Kluyveromyces lactis: one gene and its partner. The main gene of each other region encodes a partner of the protein of the gene in region 2 in a complex. Links are inferred from orthologs where the notes say so. Each region holds a gene or a part of one and is shown on either strand. Other genes may lie near its edges. The genes, in order: SWI6 and MBP1.

What was found.
Region 1: MBP1 (region 2) and SWI6 share a complex: the UniProt entries of both Saccharomyces cerevisiae proteins name them as parts of the transcription complex. The link is inferred for Kluyveromyces lactis from reciprocal best matches to the Saccharomyces cerevisiae genes MBP1 and SWI6.

What each region holds. Positions count from the first base shown.
Region 1 is NC_006039.1:142,885-147,174, reverse strand, and holds SWI6 (transcriptional regulator SWI6), read right to left. Parts: upstream 2,869-4,290; coding exon 643-2,868; downstream 1-642. Other genes in the region: TOS4 (Tos4p), read left to right, coding at 1-436; VTA1 (Vta1p), read left to right, coding at 3,141-4,055. UniProt on the Saccharomyces cerevisiae protein: Part of a complex involved in cell-cycle-dependent transcription. SWI4 and SWI6 are required for formation of the cell-cycle box factor-DNA complex. The repeated element in the upstream region of HO (5'-CACGAAAA-3') is called the cell cycle box (CCB).
Region 2 is NC_006041.1:484,649-488,964, reverse strand, and holds MBP1 (transcription factor MBP1), read right to left. Parts: upstream 3,047-4,316; coding exon 782-3,046; downstream 1-781. Other genes in the region: PSA1 (mannose-1-phosphate guanylyltransferase), read left to right, coding at 1-84; KLLA0_E05391g (uncharacterized protein), read right to left, coding at 3,591-4,316. UniProt on the Saccharomyces cerevisiae protein: Binds to MCB elements (Mlu I cell cycle box) found in the promoter of most DNA synthesis genes. Transcriptional activation by MBF has an important role in the transition from G1 to S phase.

The DNA of each region.
Region 1 (4,290 bases), on a different chromosome or scaffold from region 2:
AAAGAAGAAATCCAAAAAGAAATCAAGAAAGCAAATTGACAGTGATGAAGCTTCAAAAGAACAAACTCTTTCCTCTTTGACTACAAGGGGGGTAGATTACAAAGAATTACAGCATGTATTGTCCAATCACTTAGCATTCTCTAACATTCAACAAGTGCCACTCTTTCAATTGCAGGATGTTAACTCTGTTGTCTCGAAGTTAAGCCGCACAGAACTGCGCGCTATTTTGAATGACGAACAATGTATCGGAGTAATTTACCGTACAGGAAAAGATGCCGCAGGAAAGCCACTGGATGAAGAATACTACTATGATGCAGAAAATGATCCTGACGATGACAGAAGACAGCTGGTAGCATCACTCAAGGGTGGCAGATCTGGTTTAAGATCATGCAGGAGAGTGCATAAACAGTATTTCTGGAAGAAACCAACTAAATAATCTAAAAATTCTGCTCGACTTGCTTTTTAACACAAGGCGTCGAAGAAACAAATATATACATAGGCAATAAATGTAATAGAAAAAAAAGGTTCATCGTATTTTATAGGTAAAAGTCCACTAAAATTACAACAGCTTGCGTAAACTGTTTAGTTAGAAATAAAAGTACAACAAGAGTTATTTCCAAATAGGTTACCATCAATTGGTATTTATTCGGCGGCACTCTCTAAAAAGTTGTTCACCTCGTCTGTATCTATATCTTCAGGATCTTCATTAGATATAGCTTGCAAAAGACCGTCAAGCATTGAGTCAACCTTCTCTTCATCTATCTTCAAGCAGAGAGACAAGACTTTTCTGAATTTAGATTCTAAATTCTTCTGCTTGTCTTTGATAGTCTGTAAAGTTGAGTCTAAATGCAATTCGTTTCTATTGTACGCTTTGATTCTTGCTTTAAGAATTTTGGGATGTGGGATTTCTGCTCTGGAAGGGAAGTTATCGTATATTTCATGAACAAGTTGTGATAAATTGCAATGTTTGAGGAATAGTTCAAAATCATTGTTATATTCGTCTTTGATCTTTTCCTCAAACTTTGTGTAAACGTAAGAGATTCTGAAAGGCTCATCAGCATCGAATGCAATATCGGCTGAGTTCAGACCTTCTTCTTGGACATCATCCAGTGATAGTCCTAATTCTCTAGAAGCAAGTTGGAAATTTTGATCTTCTTCAGCGATAGTGTTTTCCACATTGTTCAGTCTGTCGGACAACAGATTATATTCATCTTGGATTTGCTTTGCCTTAGCCAATCTATCCCGTGCATTAGCCAACGCTTCTCTCTTTATGTTGAGTGTATCGAGGAGCTCCTTCATCTTCCCATTATGTTGTTTAATTTCATCACCATAATCATTCGATATTTTTGAGAGGAGTGATTTTATATTTGTGATTAACGATGTAGACTCAGCCATCGGATCCAACGAAGTTTCATGAGTTTTGGTAGGTGTGGCCATAAGATTTTTTGTATTCGATTGAAAACGGGGTTGAGTACCTGCACCAAAATCCACAGGGCACAATCCGGAATTGTTTGCAATATTAGGATCAGCACCATAATCCAACAATGCTTCGACAATGGCAACGTTTCCAAGCCTGGCGGCAATATTTAAACAGGTATCACCATTAGAATCTCTAGCATTGAGTAAATGAGTGATAACCCATTGAAGATCGATATCTTCTAGTAGCACGCAATGCGATTCTTTAGTTCTGCTTTGCTTTTTAACTATCCAACCCATCAAAATATCGAGGTAATACTTAGCCGCTGCATTACAACCAGGCATACCAGAAGTAATCACAATATGATGAAGAACGGTTCTATCCATGTCATCAACCATTACGATACAAGGGTACAAGTAGTCCAACAGTATCTCGAATGTACCAGAATCGTAATTGTTTACCGACTTCACAGATTTTACAAGCACTGATTCACCGGACTTATCGCCGATTCTTCTATCACTGCCAAAGACAATGAGCTGTTTGAGAAGGTCTAGATTGGCTATGGAACACAGCCAATGCAAGGAAGTGTTTCCATGTTCATCAATTGGGATGTTAAAATTTAGTGGAACGTTTGGGAATTGTGTGTCCAGTTCTTGTACCTGCTGGGTTAAGCTGACCGATGGGTAACCTTCTGCAACGTTCAAATTCGTAGTTTCGGGGAAAAGAATACGCTGAAGTAAGGTCTCTAACTTCGCACGTTCATCATTTGAGTAATTACTAACTGGAGGCAGAGTTTTCTGTAACGTAGAGACCGTAGGTAAATCATGTTGGAAAACCGGGATCTTTGAAACAGATTTGGTTTGATGCCTCTTCGTAGGAGAATCGGGAAGATCTAGAAGCTCATGTTTAACAGTGTCTGGCTCACCACCACTGATTCTAGAAGTGGTTCCATTTGTAATTGTTGCAGGCCTGAAATTACTTCCTTCGGCAGTAACATTCCCATCATTTTTATTCGAGCTGTTGTTTCCGTTATTTGTATTTTCAGTACCACCATTCTCCATTGTGTGGTTGTCCGTCTTTCTACCATTATTCTCAGGAGTCTTCTGACCATCGTCTTCAACGCCATTGTGATTAGCTTCATTATCATCGTCATGGTCCGTCAAATTTTCCGAACCAGAATCATCTTTAATTTGCAGCAAATCCCATAACTCATGTGCTTTTTGTAAAGTGATCCATCGGGTGCCAGACCTATCAGTGTCTATAAGTATATTGAATTGAGAAGTGACCATATCATCGAGATTCTCAACCAATGGGTCATCGCGATGGAAATTGAAACTTGATAAGTTGGTCAACAAAGGGATAAATTGGTCCAGACAGACATATCCGTCTTGAAGTCGCTGCTGGAAAGTAATACGGTCTCCCTTATGCACCTTAAAAATAGGCCTGCTCATCGTCCACTTTATACCGTTAAATTGTGAAGGATCCCAGAACAATTACTAGTACAGTCAACGTTGTTCGTTGTTTAGAGTTCTCAATTGTGAAATTAGTACGATGTTCATAATTTGGTTAACATTCAAAAATCAATAAATTTTCTCCATTTGGCGTTTGTATATTATATTATCATAATATCGACATATTGGGATAGGGAATGAATGAGGTATCCAGGGGACTGAGACGTGCTCATACAGCCCAAAAGACTTTCGTTCACTATACTTGATACATTATGAGCAATGTAGCGCAGTACAAGAGAGTCATTAAACTCTCTAAAGAATTGTCAACTCTTCCTGTTATATCTTACTACTTAAAACTATATGCGGCAGAGCTAATATTGAATGAGAAGGAGCGAGACGGGGAAGCGACAGAGTTGGTCATGTCATTATTAGACGATGTAGAGAGCTTTAAAAATGAGGTGAATGATGAAGGTACTAAGATCCTGTTGAATGAAAAAGACAAAGCATTGGCTTTTGTGTTAAATCTTGCGATGTCAATCTATAACGGAATCTTAGTACAAATACAAGATGATAGGATTAATGACGATATAGGAAAGGGGCTATGGTGCTGTATAGATTTGTTTCAATGCTGTAAACATATATGGGCGGATAGTATGGATGCCATTGTAAAAGAGCAATGCGATAAAAGGATCAAACATTCCAAATACTATCTTATGAAATTGAAAAGGGGACAATTACAAAGCGACAAGAAGCCCCAAGAAACCACATCAGAACCTACAAATAGTAACCCACTAAGCGAAGTGGAAGATGAAATCCCAAATTTTGTCGAGGATCTAGAGGATCAGCCGCTATTCGAAGAGCCAAAAGATTCGGAAATAGCACAGCAGCATGGTCCGTCTCCCTCTTTGAAGGTAGATGAATCCGTTGAGAAGTTAAAGCAGCTTGAGTCGCCAGAAGTTCCAATAAAGTTGCTAACGCCAGAACCGATCAAATTAGAATCACCTAAACCGGCAGTGAGACATGATGTTGCTACTTTGAAAGAAATAATGTCAAGGGAGCACAGGATTCAAAAAGCACAACGAAGTGCTAAGTATGCAATAAGCGCTCTAAACTATGACGACATAGTAACTGCAAAAGCCGAGTTACTGCAAGCTTTTAAGTTGCTTGAAGACTTGACGCCTGAATAATATTCCAATGCGTCTGATCATTTCTGCATTTTTGCCTCAGTTATGAACAATGTCAGAGATTCTATAATTATCGTATTTGCATCTATATCATTATTAACTCAATTAGCAGCCCTCAATTTTAATGTTTCGATCAGTTTCCTTTCACTGTTTTGTATCAATTGGTCTATATATACGCCATTATACATGTAAATGTAGAATTCTCTTTAAAGTTAGATCCACATGTCTCTAATACTTG
Region 2 (4,316 bases):
GACGAAATTTACATCAACGGTGGTAAAGTCTTGCCTCACAAGTCCATCTCCGTTAATGTTCCAAAGGAAGCTATTATTATGTGATTTGACTTTGTTTTGTCAGACTTTTTCTTGCTTTTCCCCCCATGTATCACACCCGTTTCCTTCTATTATCTATTGAGTTGGTTTATATGTCCGTTTGTTATGTTTTAATTGCTTTCAGTTTTGTCTTCTTAGTTCGGACTATCCCCATCGTAACATTAATAATTTGAGTTTAAGCGAATTGGACCATTATATTTTGTGTTTCTCCGCCTTCATTTCAGTTGGACTCATTTCTTCCATCACCAACCAAGATATAATATATAATAAAATCAAAGCTTCCGCTCTCATGAATCACAAATAAAAAAACAACAACACCAAACAATTGCAATGAGTTAGTCAATAGATTAAGTTCCACAGAAAGACAATAAAAGTCACATTTATTTCAACATTGCAAGATCGCGTTCTTTCTTTGTTTTTACATTACTGGATAATGTGTTCAGAAAACTACGGATGATATCTTCAGCGTTACACCTTACAGACTTTCAGATAACTAAAACTCTAATATTATTATATTTATGGTAGCCCATATGTAAGTTAACAAACTGATATGTACAATCCATTTATAATGAATATAATCGGGTAAGAGTTGTAGAGATGATTCAACATGGTTTGTTGAGTACTCTTATGTTTAATTAATACAATGCTACATCATGAAGAAAGTAGTCATTGTGTACATGACGATCGAATACGAATTATACAACTAACCTTCCTTGCTTAATGTTTGATATATCACATCTAAACATTCGTCAACATCAGAAACGTCAATGTCAGTTCCTTGAGATATCATTTTCCTATATTTGTAAACTTTAGAGTTGTCTGTTATCACGTCAATAATTTGATTAAGTTTTCGTTTTCGTTTTAATTGAATAAGAACTAATTCCTTCAAAAGTGCTTCTATATCTTCAGACTCCTCACCGTCAGTAGTCTTACCTTCGACATTTTTTGTTTCTTCATCAACAAACTTTCGTATCAGTTTTACTTGTCCTTCTTCTAACCTGTTGATTAGCACGCGCTTGTCTGTGGCAATTCTCCGTTGTAGTTCATCAATTTTTTCCTTCCTATCATTGAGTACTATGTCAACATTGTCAGTTTCCTTCAAATTTAAAGCTTCTAAAAGTTTCATTTCGACAGATGTTATGGTTTTCTTCATGCTCTTTACTGTCCGTTCCATCTGAAGAACTTCGTTTTGTCTTTTCTGATATGCATTCTGATAAGAGTTTGCCATTTCTTTCATCATATTTATTACCTCTGGGATAATTCTATTTGTTCTAGTTGCAGCCTGAGAAGGATACATTTTGTTGAATTCATACGGATCATCCAGCCTTTGCCCTTTTGTTATTTCATCCATCGAATAACGGCCACTAATGATTCCATTAGGTGTCATTCCGCTATTATTTTGAACGGTGGTAAGTGCGCCATTTTGGAGAAGAAGTTGATAAAACTGATCATCCTTGTTCGTTGCAGCATAGTGTAAGGGTGAATTTCCGTCATTGTCTTGTTGATTTATTAATACGTCAATCCTATATTGTGGCGTAAAGTCTTTAATTTTTGATAGTACAACGTCTAAATAATAGACTGCAGAAGGGGTATGACTCTTTCTGCTAACGATCCGGTGAATGACGTTTCTTGATTTGGCATCCAGGTCAAATACAGTATCCTTCAAAATCTCAAAGATCTGCGGATACGTCCGTTTGGTATAACAATTGTGAAAAATTGAAGATCTTATTAGTGGCGTTTCTCCTACGTTATTCAACGATCTGATGGAACTTCCTGCTTTTAGTAGTGCCTCTACAATGGGTAACGTACCCATCGCACATGCCCAATGAAAGGCTGTATGATGTTCGGGGTCAATCCACGTATCAATAAACGGCGAACAATGTAAAGGAGGATTCAAAAGCTCCATCGGTATTTCCGATTCGTTTTGGGTATCATTAGATATGAAATAATTCACCAATTTTGATAGGTATTCGTTTGCTCTTTGGTTTGAATCAGATGGTCCGTTTTGAGATGAGGAAAATTTTGGTAATATCATATTCATTGAAGTCGTACCATTTAATTGTAGGGGAGTTTGCATGTTAGATCTCGAGCCAAATGCAACACTTTGAGAGAATTCACTTGGGGAAGACGGTAAAGAGGAAGAAGAAGATACAGGCTCATCCTTTGTGTTCATTAAGTGTGTGTTATCCTCATGTTTTGTGCCCATAATAGAATTAGGTTCTACATCACTGGAAAGTCCGTCTTCGATATCTAATTCCTTAAATTGGGGAGAAGCTTGATCCAGCGGAGATTTTACATCCATAATCGGGGACAAACTAGTCGCTGATCTGCCAAACTGAGGCTGTAGACTAGGTAACTTTGTGCTCTGGATAGAAGATGATGGAATTGAAGGTTTTGGAAAAACCATCTCACTTTGTGATCTTTGTAATGTTACAGTCGCTTTATTCCGAGGAGGACGACCCCGCCTTTTTGGTGCAGAACCAGGTTGCTGCTGCTGCTGTTGAGATACAGGCTGCTGCTGTTGGGAGCTCGCTTTTTCGGATACCTTTCCAGAAGGTACAGATGCGCTTTTTGTAGCCTTTTTTCTGGTAGAGTCACTTCTGGAAGCATGGTGATGTTTAGGAGCCTGAGGCGGCGAAGCAGAGCCTTCTTGTTGTGTAAAGTCAAATAAAGGTTTAAGCTCATCTAATACTTCGAACTTCTCAGCCAACTTCGAGGCTAGCTCTAAGGGAATCCACGTACCTTGGTATTTACCGAAACCACCTTGAACCTTTTCGTGGGTATCTGTTATGACTTCTTTTTCCAATATCCTTGTCCTTTTAGCCTTTGGAAACTTTGCAGCCTTCAATATATGAGTGGCATTCACCCAATTATCTGCCTTTCTCTTCATTATTGACCCAGTCGGGTGTATAAACTCATAGACATCCACGCCAGAGTACTTCGCAGAATATATTTGATTGGATGACATGGTATTAACTTTATCCTTGTAAAAAAATTGATGCAATATCTTGCACCCGTGCTATGTGTAAGATCAAATTTGGTTCCAAAAATCGATATGATATATCTTAGTCCCCAATTCAGTTTGACAGTATGCTGGTCTTCGACTGACTATACCCCCGAAATATAGCGACTGGTAATGGCGGGTATGTCCAGTAAATGTCAGCAAACTCGAAAAAAACTCAATGAATTTCCAATCAAACCTTGTATGGATATTCAAGGTGTGAAGATCGTCTTTCTCTTGGTTTATATTTTGACTGTTTTGTACCTTTAGGTACTTATCATATGCAATATATAAACAATAACTTGCATTATTTTCGATGGTTCTTAATTCATCAACCAAAAAAAACGTACCAACTTCAACACAACAACTCAAAATGTTACCCGGACATTCAAATTAAAACGGTAACTGGATGCTCTTTGAGCGTATAAGGCTGGCTCTTGGTTGGGAGAGACAGAAAATAGTCAACATTCATATCAAACGCATTAAGCTCATAATTAAATATATTTTCTATTTAAATAGTAAGTTCGATTTTAATCTTTTCCACTTCTTTCTCAGTAAACTTCAGTTGCTCTAAGAAAAACAGTTCAAAAGAGCCGAATTTCAACAAGAATGCGTCAATGAATAGACGCATTGCTTCATATTTTGAAGATAGCACATTGGCTGCCATTTCCTTTGGAGAAACACCCCAAGCAGAAGCTATTTCATGACCGTGGGGGCCCAGAATTGTGTAGAATTTGTCACCACGTCCGGTGATTCTTTGGATTAATCTTTTCTCGGTAGTCAATCCGAGTTTAGTTAATTCATAATCGTGAGAAATGGTGTCAGCGTCAACACCCGCCAACCCTAATATCAACATACCCAAAATCCCGGTCCTATCCTTTCCAGCACTGCAATGAAAAACAATCGCATGTTTTTCATCGACGTTTCCCTCAAGTATGTATTCGAAAAAACGACGAATAACTGGGAGACTGTTCTCTAAAACAATCTCATACGCCTGAGGGAAATTGTAAGAAGACAAAAACATACCTTGATAATGTTTAGCCATTTCTTCTGGACTCAATGTCATGTTATTGTTGAACGATAGATTTTCAACTTCGAAATTCGGGATAATCCCACCTTCAGTAGCTTCATTAACAGCTCTCAGATCAAAAACTCTATTTATGAAAAGATGAGATTTCATGTAATCCAAAGCGGCGGGTGTGGCCTCATTGGGGTTTGCACAACGGTACATAATACC